Linked DNA regions of Macaca fascicularis. The protein of the gene in region 2 purifies or fractionates together with the protein of the main gene of each other region. This does not show direct contact. Links are inferred from orthologs where the notes say so. Each region holds a gene or a part of one and is shown on either strand. Other genes may lie near its edges.

Region 1 (6,087 bases), on a different chromosome or scaffold from region 2:
CCATGACCTGCAGCTCACCTGCATTCCACAAGTTCGTAAACAGCAATTTCGGTTGACAGTTTCCAAAGACCCCTTCCTCATGACCCTTACTCAACTCCTGCCCTAGTAGTTTCAAGACCCCCCAGGCCCTGTTTGCACAACCAGCTTCCCTACCTCTCGGGCTATAAAAAGCCCCTACCCTCCTCCCTCAGCGCGACTTCCTCGGCCCACACCTTTGGACCGAGGAACCTCGCCCACAAGCCCTAATAAAAGGCTATTCTCACTGCCATTTGCCTTGTGTCTTCATTCCCGGTTTGGCTCCAGCCTCAGTTTACCTTTACATTTGGTGCCGAAACCCGGGAGGAGACCCCTCGCTGGACCCCTGCTAGGTCGGGCAGGCTCTCCTCTCCCTGAGCCAGGTTCCTGGTACGGCTCCAGCCTCAGTTTATCTTTACATTTGGTGCCAAAACCCAGGAGGAGACCCCCTCCCTGGACCCCTGCTAGGTCGGGCAGGCTCTCCTCTTCCTGAGCCAGGATCCCCTCCTCAAGCCTGGAGCCGTCTCACCAAATTTAAGACTCAATTCGATCACTGCTGGGTAAATTTTCCCCCTGTCCTGATGGCTCCCTCCGGGAGTCCCTGTCCGAAACGTGCGGCCGCATCAGGGGCTCTCTCCAGTCAGCTGTGACCTCAGCACCGGGGACTAGGAGACGTCCAACCTCCCCAGAAGCCACCATACCCCGCACTCCACGTGGCAGTAGGAGGACGCTCCCATTGCCTCCAGACTGCCCGCCTTGAGACCATAGGAACTACCCAGTCCAAACCAAACCGAGAATCTCCTCTGGGGTGCCTCTTGGCGAATCTCCAGACTTTAAGTCTCAGCCAAGACATAAAACGAAAGCGGTTCATTTTCTTCTGCACAATAGCATGGCCGCAATATAAATTGGATAATCAGTCTCAGTGGCCTGCAGAAGGCACTCTAGACTTTAACATTCTCACAGATCTGACCAACTTCTGCAAGAGACTAGGCAAATGGTCCGAGATACCCTATGTTCAGGCCTTTTGGGACTTGCATTCTCACCCAGATCTCTGCGCCCAATGCTCGTTAGCTCAAGTTCTGCTCACAAAGTCTCTTCCCTCGAGCAAGGAGGGGGATGATTCCTCCTCTTTTTCTGAGCCTCCTGACACCCTATCCCGGCCACCCCTCCGGTCTCCTGCCCAACCTCCCTCCTTACCCTGACCCACCGTTATCCCTGTCCTCATCAACGCCTCCCTACCCTTCCCCCACTCCTGTGCCCTTACCAAACCTGACAGATTCTGTCTCCCCTACTTCCACCTCCTCCCCTTCCTTGCCTGTCTCAGCCCATACTCGGTCCAGGACTGACCTCCTGTGTCCCTTGTGAGAGGTGGCAGGTGCCGAAGGAGTAGTCCAGGTCCATGTGCCGTTTTCATTGGCAGATTTGTCTAAGGTTGAGGGGCGTGCAGGCTCCTTTTCAGCCAATCCTACTCGTTATATCAAAGAGTTTAGGTATCTGTGCCAGGCATATGATCTCACCTGGCATGACCTCCATGTCGTTATGACCTCAACCCTGTCTCCTGAGGAGCAGGAGCGCATCCTAGCGGCAGCCAGGCAGCACACTAACCAGGTTCATTTAACTGACCCCGCCATGCCAGTCGGCACTGAGGCAGTGCCCTCGGCTGAGCCCGACTGGGACTACCAGGTAGGGCAGGCAGGCCGCTGTCACCGAGACATGATGGTTCAGTGCCTTCTTGCCAGCATGCAGGCAGCCTCTAACAAATCAGTCAACTTTAACAAACTAAAGGAGGTAGTCCAAGGCGCAGATGAAAATCCGGCTGTTTGTCTTAACCGGCTGACTGAGGCACTTATTCAGTACACCCGCCTTGACCCTGCCCCCCCTGCAGGAGCAACCATCTTGGCCTCATATTTCATTTCTCAGTCAGCCCCTGATGTCCAAAAAAAAATTTTTTTAAAGGCGGAGGAAGGCCCTCAAACTCCCATCCAGGACTTAGTCAAACTGGCCTTCAAGGTCTACAACTCCAGGGAGGAAGCAGCTGAGGCCCAACGACAGGCCAGGCTAAAACAGAAGGTACAACTCCAAACCCAGGCCTTGGTAGCAGCCCCGAGGCCATCCGGCTCCAGGAGCTCCCAGAAAGGAGGTACTCCCCGAGCGCCATCTGGTGCCTGCTTCAAGTGAGGCACCGATGGCCACTGGGCCAGGCAGTGCCCTAACCCAAAGGAGCCAACTCGCCCCTGTCCAAACTGTTGGCAGATGGGCCACTGGAAGTCAGACTGCCCTGACCTAAGGATGGTCGCTGCGCCTACACGTGACGACCCTCCTCCAGGTATTGGAGGCGCCCCAGCTCCTTGACACTGATGAAGATTGAAGAGGCCCAGACTCGGGGACCCCTCTCACTCTCGCCGAGCCCAGGGTCATGCTCCAGGTAGCGGGTAAGTCCATATCCTTCCTTATGGACACGGGGGCTACCTACTCTGCTTTGCCTTCCTTCAGTGGCCACAGCTACCCCTCCACTGTCACAGTCATGGAAATTGACGGCACTCCCTCCACCTACCGCCAGACTCCTCCTCTGTCTTGCTGCCTGGATGGCTCCCTCTTCTCACACTCGTTTCTTATCATTCCTTCGTGCCCAGTCCCCTTGTTAGGACGAGATCTCCTCTCCAAGCTAAGGGACTCAGTTCATTTCCGGCCCACCCCCTCCCCACACCTCACATTCCTCTTCCCCCTCCTCTCACCTGACAAACCCCGCCAGGCTGACCCCCCACTCCTGTTTCCAGTCCCCATTAACCCTAAGTTATGGGACACCTCCAAGCTGATCATTGCCCAGCACCACACTCCGGTCCGCATCCGGCCAAAAGACCCTTCTAAGTTTCCCTCTAGGCCCCAGTTCCCTATCTCCCTTGAACACCGACAGGGACTAAAACCCATCATCATGCGCCTGCCCCAGCAACACATTGTAGTCCCTGCCAACTCACCATGCAATACTCCTATCATGCCTGTACGGAAAAGCTCTGGGGCCTATCGTCTCATGCAGGACCTATGCCTCATCAATGAGGCAGTAGTCCCCACCTTTCCAGTTGTTCCTAACCCATATACACTTCTCTCGTGCATTCCCCTCGATACCACTCACTTTATTGTCCTTGACCTAAAAGATGCCTTCTTCACCATTCCCTTACATCTGACTGTCACTTTCTGTTTGCTTTTACATAGGAAGATCCAGACACTCATATTTCTTCCCAGCTGACCTGGACTGTCTTGCCTCAAGGGTTCTGAGATAGCCCCCACTGGTTGCGGTACCTTTACCCAGCCCTTTTAACTCCTCTAACCTAACCCCCTCCTTTCCCCTTCCCGGCCAAACACTACATCAATGAGTCAGGACTAGTAGAAACCAATCTCCTCACTCTAGAAAAGATTTGAGAAAGACTCCACCAGAAAAACCTCGGATCAAGGCCCTCACTTAGGTGGTGGCAGTCGTCTGTGGCCGGTTAAGTCCTACCCTTTCTAAGCCCCTTACTAATCATTGGCTTCTTGCTACTCATAGCTCCCTGTGTCCTCCGCTTCATCCAGGACTGCATGAAAGAAGTCTCCCAGGTCACTTTCAATCAGATGCTGCTCCACCCCATACCCGAGTTCCGACCTCCGAAGAACGCCACGACGACCCATACCAGCAGGAAGCAGCCAGATGAACACGTTGCCCCATTTTCTTATTAGAAAGAGGTCGGAATGTTAGGCAGGAATCTAGACCCAACATGGCGGCGTTACCCGGCATAGCAGGCCTTTTGTTAAAGACTCCCTTCACCCTTGTACACACCCGCAGACTTACATGCCTCAGAGTTCTGGCTAGGCAACCACACTCCCCCATGACCTGCAGCTCACCTGCATTCCACAAGTTCGTAAACAGCAATTTCGGTTGACAGTTTCCAAAGACCCCTTCCTCATGACCCTTACTCAACTCCTGCCCTAGTAGTTTCAAGACCCCCCCAGGCCCTGTTTGCACAACCAGCTTCCCTACCTCTCGGGCTATAAAAAGCCCCTACCCTCCTCCCTCAGCGCGACTTCCTCGGCCCACACCTTTGGACTGAGGAACCTCACCGGCAAGCCCTAATAAAAGGCTATTCTCACTGCCATTTGCCTTGTGTCTTCGTGCCCGGTTTGGCTGCAGCCTCAGTTTACCTTTACACTCAGGAGGCTGAGGGCGCAGAATCGCTTGAACCTGAAAGGCAGAGGATCCAGTGAGCCAAGATTGCGTCAGTATACTCCAGCCTGGGTGACAAAGCAAGACCCTGTCTTAAAAAAAGAAGGAGGAGGAGGAGGAGGAGGAGAAAGGAAGGAAGGGAGGGAGAGAGGGAGGGAGGGAGGAAGGGAGGGAGGGAGGGAGGGAGGGAGGGAGGGAGGAAGGAAGGAAGGAAGGAAGGAAGGAAGGAAGGAAGGAAGGAAGGAAGGAAAAAAAAAAGAGACTGAGGACTGGAGCTATCATGCTAACTTGGAGTTGAGATTCATTCATTCGTAAATGTCAGCTGAGTGTTCCCTGTCCCTCCTCCCCTCCTCTCCTCCTTTCCCTCCTCCTTCCTTTCTTCTTACCCCTCCTACTACTACTTTTTCTTCCCTAAACTTCCCCTCCACCTTTCTTGTGCTCTGATTCTCTCTTCTCTTATCCCACTTCCTCCTTCTCTCTTTCTCCCTCCTTCTCTTCTTTCTGCCCTTTTCTCTCCTCCTCCCTGCCCTCCTCCTCTCTTCCCCGCTTCCTCTTTTTTCCTTTCCTCCCTTTTCCCCCTCCATCTTACCGGTTTGTTTTGAGATGGAGTCTTACTCTGTCACACAGGCTGGAGTGCAGTGTCTCAATCTTGGCTCACTGCAACCTCCACCTCCCGGGTCCACGCGATTCCTGCCTCAGGCTCCCCAGGAGCTGGGATTACAGGCATATGCCACCATGCCTAGCTCATTATGCATTTTTGGTAGTGATGGGGTTTCACCATGTTGACCAGGCTGGTCACAAATTTCTGATATCAAGTGATCTGCCTGGCTTGGCCTCCCAAAGTGCCGGGATTACAGACATGAGCCACCACACCCAGCCAAGGGTTCTCGTTTCTAAAACCTACCTTGGGAAAGAGGGATTCTAGTTTTTATGACCAGCCTTGAGGGAGAATAGATCTGAGACACAAGAGGGCAGGAAAAGGTCGGAGAAAAACTTTTGCTTCATTTTGGGGTCCTTCCTTCCTGCCTGCCTGCCTGCCTTCTTTCCTCTTTCTTTTTCTTCCTTTCTTACTTTCATTTCTTTCTTTCTTTCTGTCTGTCTGTCGGAGTCTCGCTCTGTCACCCAGGCTGGAGTGCAGTTGCCCGATCTTAGCTCACTGCGACCTCTGCCTCCCAGGTTCAAGCGATTCTCCTGCCTCAGCCTCCTGAGTAGCTGGGATTACAGATGCACACCACCATGCCTGGCTAATTTCTGTATTTTTAGTAGAGACGGGGTTTTGCCATGTTAGCCAGGCTGGTCTCGAACTCCTGACCTCAAGTGATCCCCTGCCTGGGCCTCCCAAAGTGTTGGGATTACAGGCGTGAGCCACTGAGTCCAGCCTGGGTATTATTTTCTGAGCCCCCTAAAGCACCACGGGTATACAGCAGCCTCTGCCCCCTGTTGTTTTCCTAAAATACAAAATCTCCTAATTCCCAAACATACCTGTCCCCAGGGATTTCAGATGAGGGATTGGGGACTGTCCTATCCCCAGGAAACTGAGATGTGGACCAGGGAGTAAAACTCAAGCTTCTGGGCCAAACTGCTCTCTGCCCCTTTCTAACCAGGTGGCCTCGGACTGGTCACCTCTGTGGGCGGCAAGTCACCCAGGTGCCGAGGCAAGAGACTGAAGGCACAAGCTGTTCCAGTATAATAAAGAAAATATATATAATAAAAATAGTTATACTAGAAATAGAATATAGATATGATTCTACATGAATGTTAATCATTAGTTTGTAGCATTACTCTTTATTACTCTTTTTTTTTTTTTTTTTTTTTTTTTGAGACGGAGTCTCACGCTGTTGCCCAGGCTGGAGTGCAGTGGCGTGATCTCGGCTCAC
Region 2 (5,982 bases):
TTTTGGAGTCAAGTGTTAAAGGTTTCTGGCCAGAGGAATTGGGGTCTTGCCATCCCTGCAATAGCCCTTTTATGGGCTCTGGGAGACAGCTTTAGGGAATAAATGGGGGTTTTCCCCTTTTTCTACCCACTCCTTTGCTTCTTCCAAGGCTTACCCAACCCCTCCCCTCTCAGAGAACCAAATAGCCTGAAGAAGCAGGAGAGTTCCTGGTTATGGCAGTTTCTTGGTGATTGGGGCTTCAAGACAGTAGGTGAGAGATGCTGTCAGGACATACCTTCCTCATACCAAAGTCACTGGTCCTTTCTCAGCCTCTCTTATGCTTTTCTCCTAATGACCATATTTTTGCCAAAAATTGGGATATGTTATCTGACAGACCAGAATATTTGAAGTTTGGGCTGTCCTGAAAGTCTGGATTTTGGTGGTACCCTCCTCCCCCAGCCCATCTGTTGCACATTATACTCCGTGTGTTCTTCAACTTTCGGTGCCCTTATTCCCCTGCCTTCCTGGCTTGATTGAAGGAAAGCTTGAAAAGGCGCAGAGCCCTTATACCTCATTTCTTCCCTGATAAAAGGATCCAGGTGAGGTCCTGTCACAGCCTGTGGGTAGGGGATGTGGCGGGATCCTCATTGCCATGGTACTCAAAGGCAGAAGAGCCTGGAGTTTGTTGCTTTTCTGCTATTCTTTCATATCCTGGGCCTGGTGATCAGCAATTCTCATTCCTCTCAGCCAAAGGCCTGCACTGGGTTTTATTTGTCCTTTTTTATTTTTTAAGCACTGCCTGCCAGAGACGGGCCTGGGGCCTGATGAGGACCTTAGCGCTGCTCATTCTCCTTTTTGGTTCATGCACACATTCCTCTGTGCGTGGGGAAAGCAGGCCCTCCTCAGAGAAGTCAGGGGTTCCCCGGCTCGAGGTATAGTGGCAAAGACCTAGTGGTCCCCTACCCCCACATCTCTCAGTTCCTGGCATGAGGAGAGAAGACCTTGCTCTGGTGGAGCTGACAACCTTTGAGGCCGGGAGGAGAAAGCAGCCTCTGGGCATCGTTCCCAGTGTCCTCCACACTAAAACGGTGTAGATGGCAACCCCCCCCCCGCCCGCCACCCCGCTGCTCACCTCTTGTGTTTGTGGTTCTGTTTGCCCCATTTATCTGTTGCTATTTTTGTGTTGTCTTCCCCCGCTCCGCATTTTGTAAAATGGCTCCTGGGGGAGTGTCTTTGCTGGATCTGCTCCCTCTCGCCCTCTCACTCCACTACTTTTTGGAAGAAAGTGATGGCAGAATGCGGTGGTGGTGGGGGGTCTTTTGTACTGTTGGATTAATAAAATGACTAAAATCCCAGACAAGGACTCCTTGCTGTTGCTGTGTGAAAAGGCTGGAATGAGCCACTGTCACTGCTGGGTAGGGTGCTTAGGGGTTGAGGATAAGTATACTCCCCAGGGTCCCTGGGAGTGGGAATGGCAGATCTGGCCCCTGAACTGACCCTGGTATAAGCTGCTGAGCCAAGGGAGGCCTGTGTTTCCCCGCCCATCCCCCTGTGTCTCAGCTGTGAGAAACTGAGTTTCCTTTCTGAGCATATTCCTGGTCCAGGCCTGGAGCCAGGAGGATTTGGCACCAAAGCCTCTGGAAGACAAGTGCTTGAGCTCTTCTGGGTTTAGCACCCCACCCACCTCCCAGTTGTTTGGGTTAGGGAGCAAGTGTAGCTCTAAGGGTGAGGGGAGGGGCTACTCCTGTTACAGCAAATTTCATTTTGGGATGTTTTTCAGATCGTTCCCGTCCCCCAACAGTTCTTTTAAAAGTAGCCATGGCATCTTTTAAGCAGTCTGTGCTGGAGCAGATTGGGGAGAACGGCAGGAGGGCTATTTCCACACCCTGGATTTGCGACCTGTCTCTCTCCCTTCCCCCATCTCACAGCTGTCTCTGTCTATCCGGGGACCAACCTGGCCCCTTCGTCATCTCAGAAGACTGCACCCTCTGCCTTTCTCTCAGTTTGTGGGGGAGGGGGTTCCCTCTAGAAACTGTTTAGACACTGGGAAAGAAGGGCAGGAAACTCAGGATACAGTTAGCTGAGACCTCGGTCGTCCACCCGGTAAGCTCAAGTTTAGGGGCCCTGTCGCTAGACCTCCCTTCCCCTCCCCTGACTCTCAAGTCCTTCTCTTATTGGCCAAAAGTTTCCGCCCCCTTGGGGATGTTGACTTTTCATTGGTCAGTTTCTGGTCACATGATTCTCTTCTCGGGCTGCAAACGAAGGAAAGCCAGCAACAAGTTAAGCTGAAGACCGAAGCAAGAGCTGGGTCAGGTAATGCCTTAGCTGGGAAGGGGTCCACAGATTCCCTGTGACGGGGGTGGAATAAGGAAAAGGGAAGGCGGAACTAATCTAGAAGGAATGAGCTGCTTTTGATTTCCGGGCTGGGGGAGGAGGGCCAGGTGCCGACACTAACAAAACAGGAACCCCAGGCAAGTGGCCCTAGATCCTTTGCTTTAGAGGTTTGGAGGCGCAACTGTTAGAAGAGTTTAAATTAACTAGAGACGAGACTTCCTAGCTTTGTACTGAGTGGGAGAGCTCCCCCTTTAGCTGTTTTTTAGAAATAGCAGAAGTCTCTGTCATAATCCTTACAGGAGGTGTTTGTTGAATCCTGCCTGAATGAAAAGAAGGGGGTGGGGGGAGGGAGTGGAGGTGGGTTTTCTTCCAGAAGGTCGATGAAAAGAAAAAGATCTGGAAACACAGCAGGGAAGGGTGGAGATTAGACAGCAGAAGGAACTTCCTAATAAGGCAGTGAGATGCTGGCTTGGGAGAAGAGGGGTATTTTTTTGAATCCTGGGTTAACCTAACCAAGAGAGAGATATCAGGGTTTGGGACCCAGAGTATAGGAGCTTCAGAGTGTCTCCTATTTGGGTCTTATAAGTATTTGTTTTGTTGACCCAAATATCTTTGCTGGTTTCCATGGAGACAGTGGGTCTGACATCACTGTGGTTGCCATGGTGCCTGGTTCTAGAGGACCTGAGCAGACTGTACACACAGCTAGGCATAAACAGGGACTTCAGCCCAAGCTGCTGCCACTTCCTTCCTGCCACCACCTGTTAACAGTCAGCAACTGGGGATGGGGAGATGATGACAACGGCGGGGGCGGAGCCACAAGCGGAAGGCTGAACAGCCATGGCTCTATGGATACTTAGAGATGCATGCCAGGGTGTCCTTTTGGACTTGGTACAGGGAAGTCATTACAGCCATTTTCCTGTCTCTGTGTGGGATGGGTGCATGTGTCTGGGAGGATGGGCATTGGGAAAGACCTATCCAGGACTTGGATCTTGACTGGCAGGAGCCACAGGAGGTTATTTAGGGCACCACGTGGGACTTGAAAACAGCTCAAACAGAAGGGGATAAGGTGGTTGGTTTCGAAGGTAGAACTGCCGTACTGTCCCAGCCTCACTTCCCTTTTCCTGAGTTTCCTTATAAAGTGCTGGGGAAGCAGTCATTTATCCTCTTCTGAAGGATCACAATCCAGTACTCTTGAGAGGTCAGCTCATCTATCCTTCCACCTTTATGCCTGGTCCCAACAGGAGCTGCCTGAGGGAACTGTCTTAGCCTTGGATGAAGGGGCGGATCCCTCTCTTCTTACTCTGCTTTGTGTCAGTCAGGCTTTGGAAACTGGAGTGATTCCCTCCCCTGTCCCTGTCAAGTCAGAGCAGATTAACGAGGTGCAGGACCATAGCCCTGATTTTTGTCTATCTTTTGCAAGCTATAAAGTGGTGTATATATACATGATAGTTGCCATAAATCCATTTTCCCAGTCACCTTCAAGTTCCCTAACACCAAACTCTGGCGATTACTAAGAAGGTAAACAGAATTTATGATGGAGCTGAGAGTGATGAGGAGACATAAAAGGTGCATCCAGGTGGATCTAAGCTATGCCAGTGGTTCTCAACCCTGGGTGCGCATGAGAATCATTTGAGAGGTTTTTAAAAAGACCCACGCCTGGGCCTACACCCCAACTCAATTGAATCAAAATCTTAGGTGATTCCAATGTGCAACCAAGATTGAGAACCATTGAACTAGACCATACCAAGGACTTATGCTGGGCAAGTGGTGGGACATTTAGGGCTGAAAGAGGCCATCAAGTCTTCCTTTGCAGGTCCTGGGGGAGAAGGTAGTGATTGTGTAGGAACCTGGTGTTGGGAAGGGAGGGCAAGGCTTCTTATTGGCAAGTTAAGTCTGTCAACCTTGCTGGGCTTAATCTTCCCTGACTAAAATGTCAGGGGGCTGGACTGGAATTCCCCAGAGCCTTTCCAGCCTATGCTACTTTGACCTTTCAAGGTCAGTTCAGTTTTCCAAGGCCCTGTTGGTCCCCGGAAGAGGCTGGCTTCTCTGTGGCTGTTGGCAGATTCTGATTTGCAAGGCAAATACTGCTTAGAAGAGTTGGGGTATCAGGGAGAGAAGGACTGGAACCAGGCTTGGTTCTGGAGGCTGCTGCCCAGCACTTGAACCTTGGAACCCAGCCAAGGCTGCTTTCTGCATCCTGCCCCTCCTGAAAGGAGCACCCATCCTTAAGAGAGCTTTCTTCTGCAGGTGGCAGCCACAGCAGCCTCAGGGACCTCAGCAACTATGGCCTCCTGCCCAGACTCTGATAATAGCTGGGTGCTTGCTGGCTCCGAGGTATGAAGAGCAGGCCTGGGAACCATGGGGGCAGGCTTGGGGGGTGTTTCTGCAGTGCTGGGCTTCTTTCTTGGTGGGTCCTTTTCCTTAGTCCTGATGGTCACCTGCATCACTTCCTGCTGGCTGTTAGAGGAACTCCAGTAGCAGGAAGAAGGAGATCGGGCCCCAGGGCTCAAGTGTTGGCACTTGGACCATGCTATGAAAGAAGGGACCAGTTCGGTAAGCTGAGACAAGTAGGGAGGGATTTCGAATGGAGAGACCAATGTGAACAAAGGTCCCGAGGCGATAGTGGGGAAAGCCATGCTGGGGGAGACTGTGGGACACCCATGGGTGATGTGGAGACGTGGGTTGGAGCCAGTGTTGGAGTGAGGTTGGGGGCAGAACATCGGAACCCCTGGAAGAGACCTGAAGGGCCTGGCTGAGGCCTTCAGGCCTCATCCTGATGGGAAATCAATGTGGGGCTTTGGGTTAGAGGGATCAGGACAATCATTGTCTTGGGCAGAGGGTGAAGCCACTGTGCAGCCTGGGTGGGAACAGGGAGAGAGTGTTTTGAAGACCCTCTGCAGCAGTCCAGGTAGCAGCTGGTGGGGCAGAAGCCCACTGAGGAGGGAGAAGGGGGCTGGTAGGATGGGGAACTGAGTGGCTAGAGAAGGGATGGCAAAAATTTGTCAAAGGCATCTCTGAGAGTTCCAAGACCTTGCGACTTTGTATATTAGAGCCACCAGGAGGGGAGGAGGGGAGGAGCTCGGTTTCAATATGTTGAGTTTGAGGTGCTCTTGAGGAACCCAGCTGGGAGTAAGGAGTTGACCTTGGGGATGATGCTGGAGCAAGATACATGGATTGGAACTCGCTGGCAGAGGGAAGGCAGGTATGAGCAGATGGGCATCAGGCTCTCAGAGCCCTGGCCTCCTGTTGAGGTGTCTTTGTTGACAGCTGGGGGACCTTGGGCATGCCATGTCACCTCTCTGTCCTCTCCTGTAAAATGGGGGTCATGATTTTTGCCTTATAGGAGGGACCATGAGAATAAAAATGTTTTGAAAATGGCAAAGACACAAGTAAGATGAAGCATTATTCTCAAAGGGATAGTTGGAGCCACGGGGCAGGTGGCAGGCCAGGGCCCTGCGGAAGGGGAGTAGGCAGAGGGAGGAGGCCAAGGCTGTGTGGCCAGGGCTGAATGTTCAGGGAGAGCACCCTGGAGACAGGCTGTCTGTGGTTGGGGTGGGTTGGGCTTCTGTGAGCAGCTGCTGGGTGTCGGGGGAGTGTCAGGGGCCAGTGGGAAAGGCCAGAAAGGCTTAGGAGATGTAAGTAGTTGTCCAGTTGAGAGGGCAGCTGCAG

The links.
Region 1: the proteins of PBXIP1 (region 2) and SLC27A1 purify together in Homo sapiens (co-immunoprecipitation; 3 studies listed by BioGRID and IntAct, with this or other methods). This does not show direct contact. The link is inferred for Macaca fascicularis from reciprocal best matches to the Homo sapiens genes PBXIP1 and SLC27A1.

Annotation. Positions count from the first base shown.
Region 1 is NC_088393.1:17,806,224-17,812,310, reverse strand, and holds the start of SLC27A1 (long-chain fatty acid transport protein 1), read right to left. Parts: upstream 4,033-6,087; 5' UTR 3,878-4,032; coding exon 3,681-3,877; intron 2,149-3,680; exon of another isoform or gene 1,417-2,148; coding exon of another isoform or gene 1,363-1,416; intron 1-1,362. UniProt on the Homo sapiens protein: Mediates the import of long-chain fatty acids (LCFA) into the cell by facilitating their transport at the plasma membrane.
Region 2 is NC_088375.1:106,188,605-106,194,586, forward strand, and holds the start of PBXIP1 (pre-B-cell leukemia transcription factor-interacting protein 1), read left to right. Parts: upstream 1-2,216; 5' UTR 2,217-2,292; intron 2,293-4,560; 5' UTR 4,561-4,596; coding exon 4,597-4,647; intron 4,648-4,738; exon of another isoform or gene 4,739-4,845; coding exon of another isoform or gene 4,846-4,866; intron 4,867-5,982. UniProt on the Homo sapiens protein: Regulator of pre-B-cell leukemia transcription factors (BPXs) function. Inhibits the binding of PBX1-HOX complex to DNA and blocks the transcriptional activity of E2A-PBX1.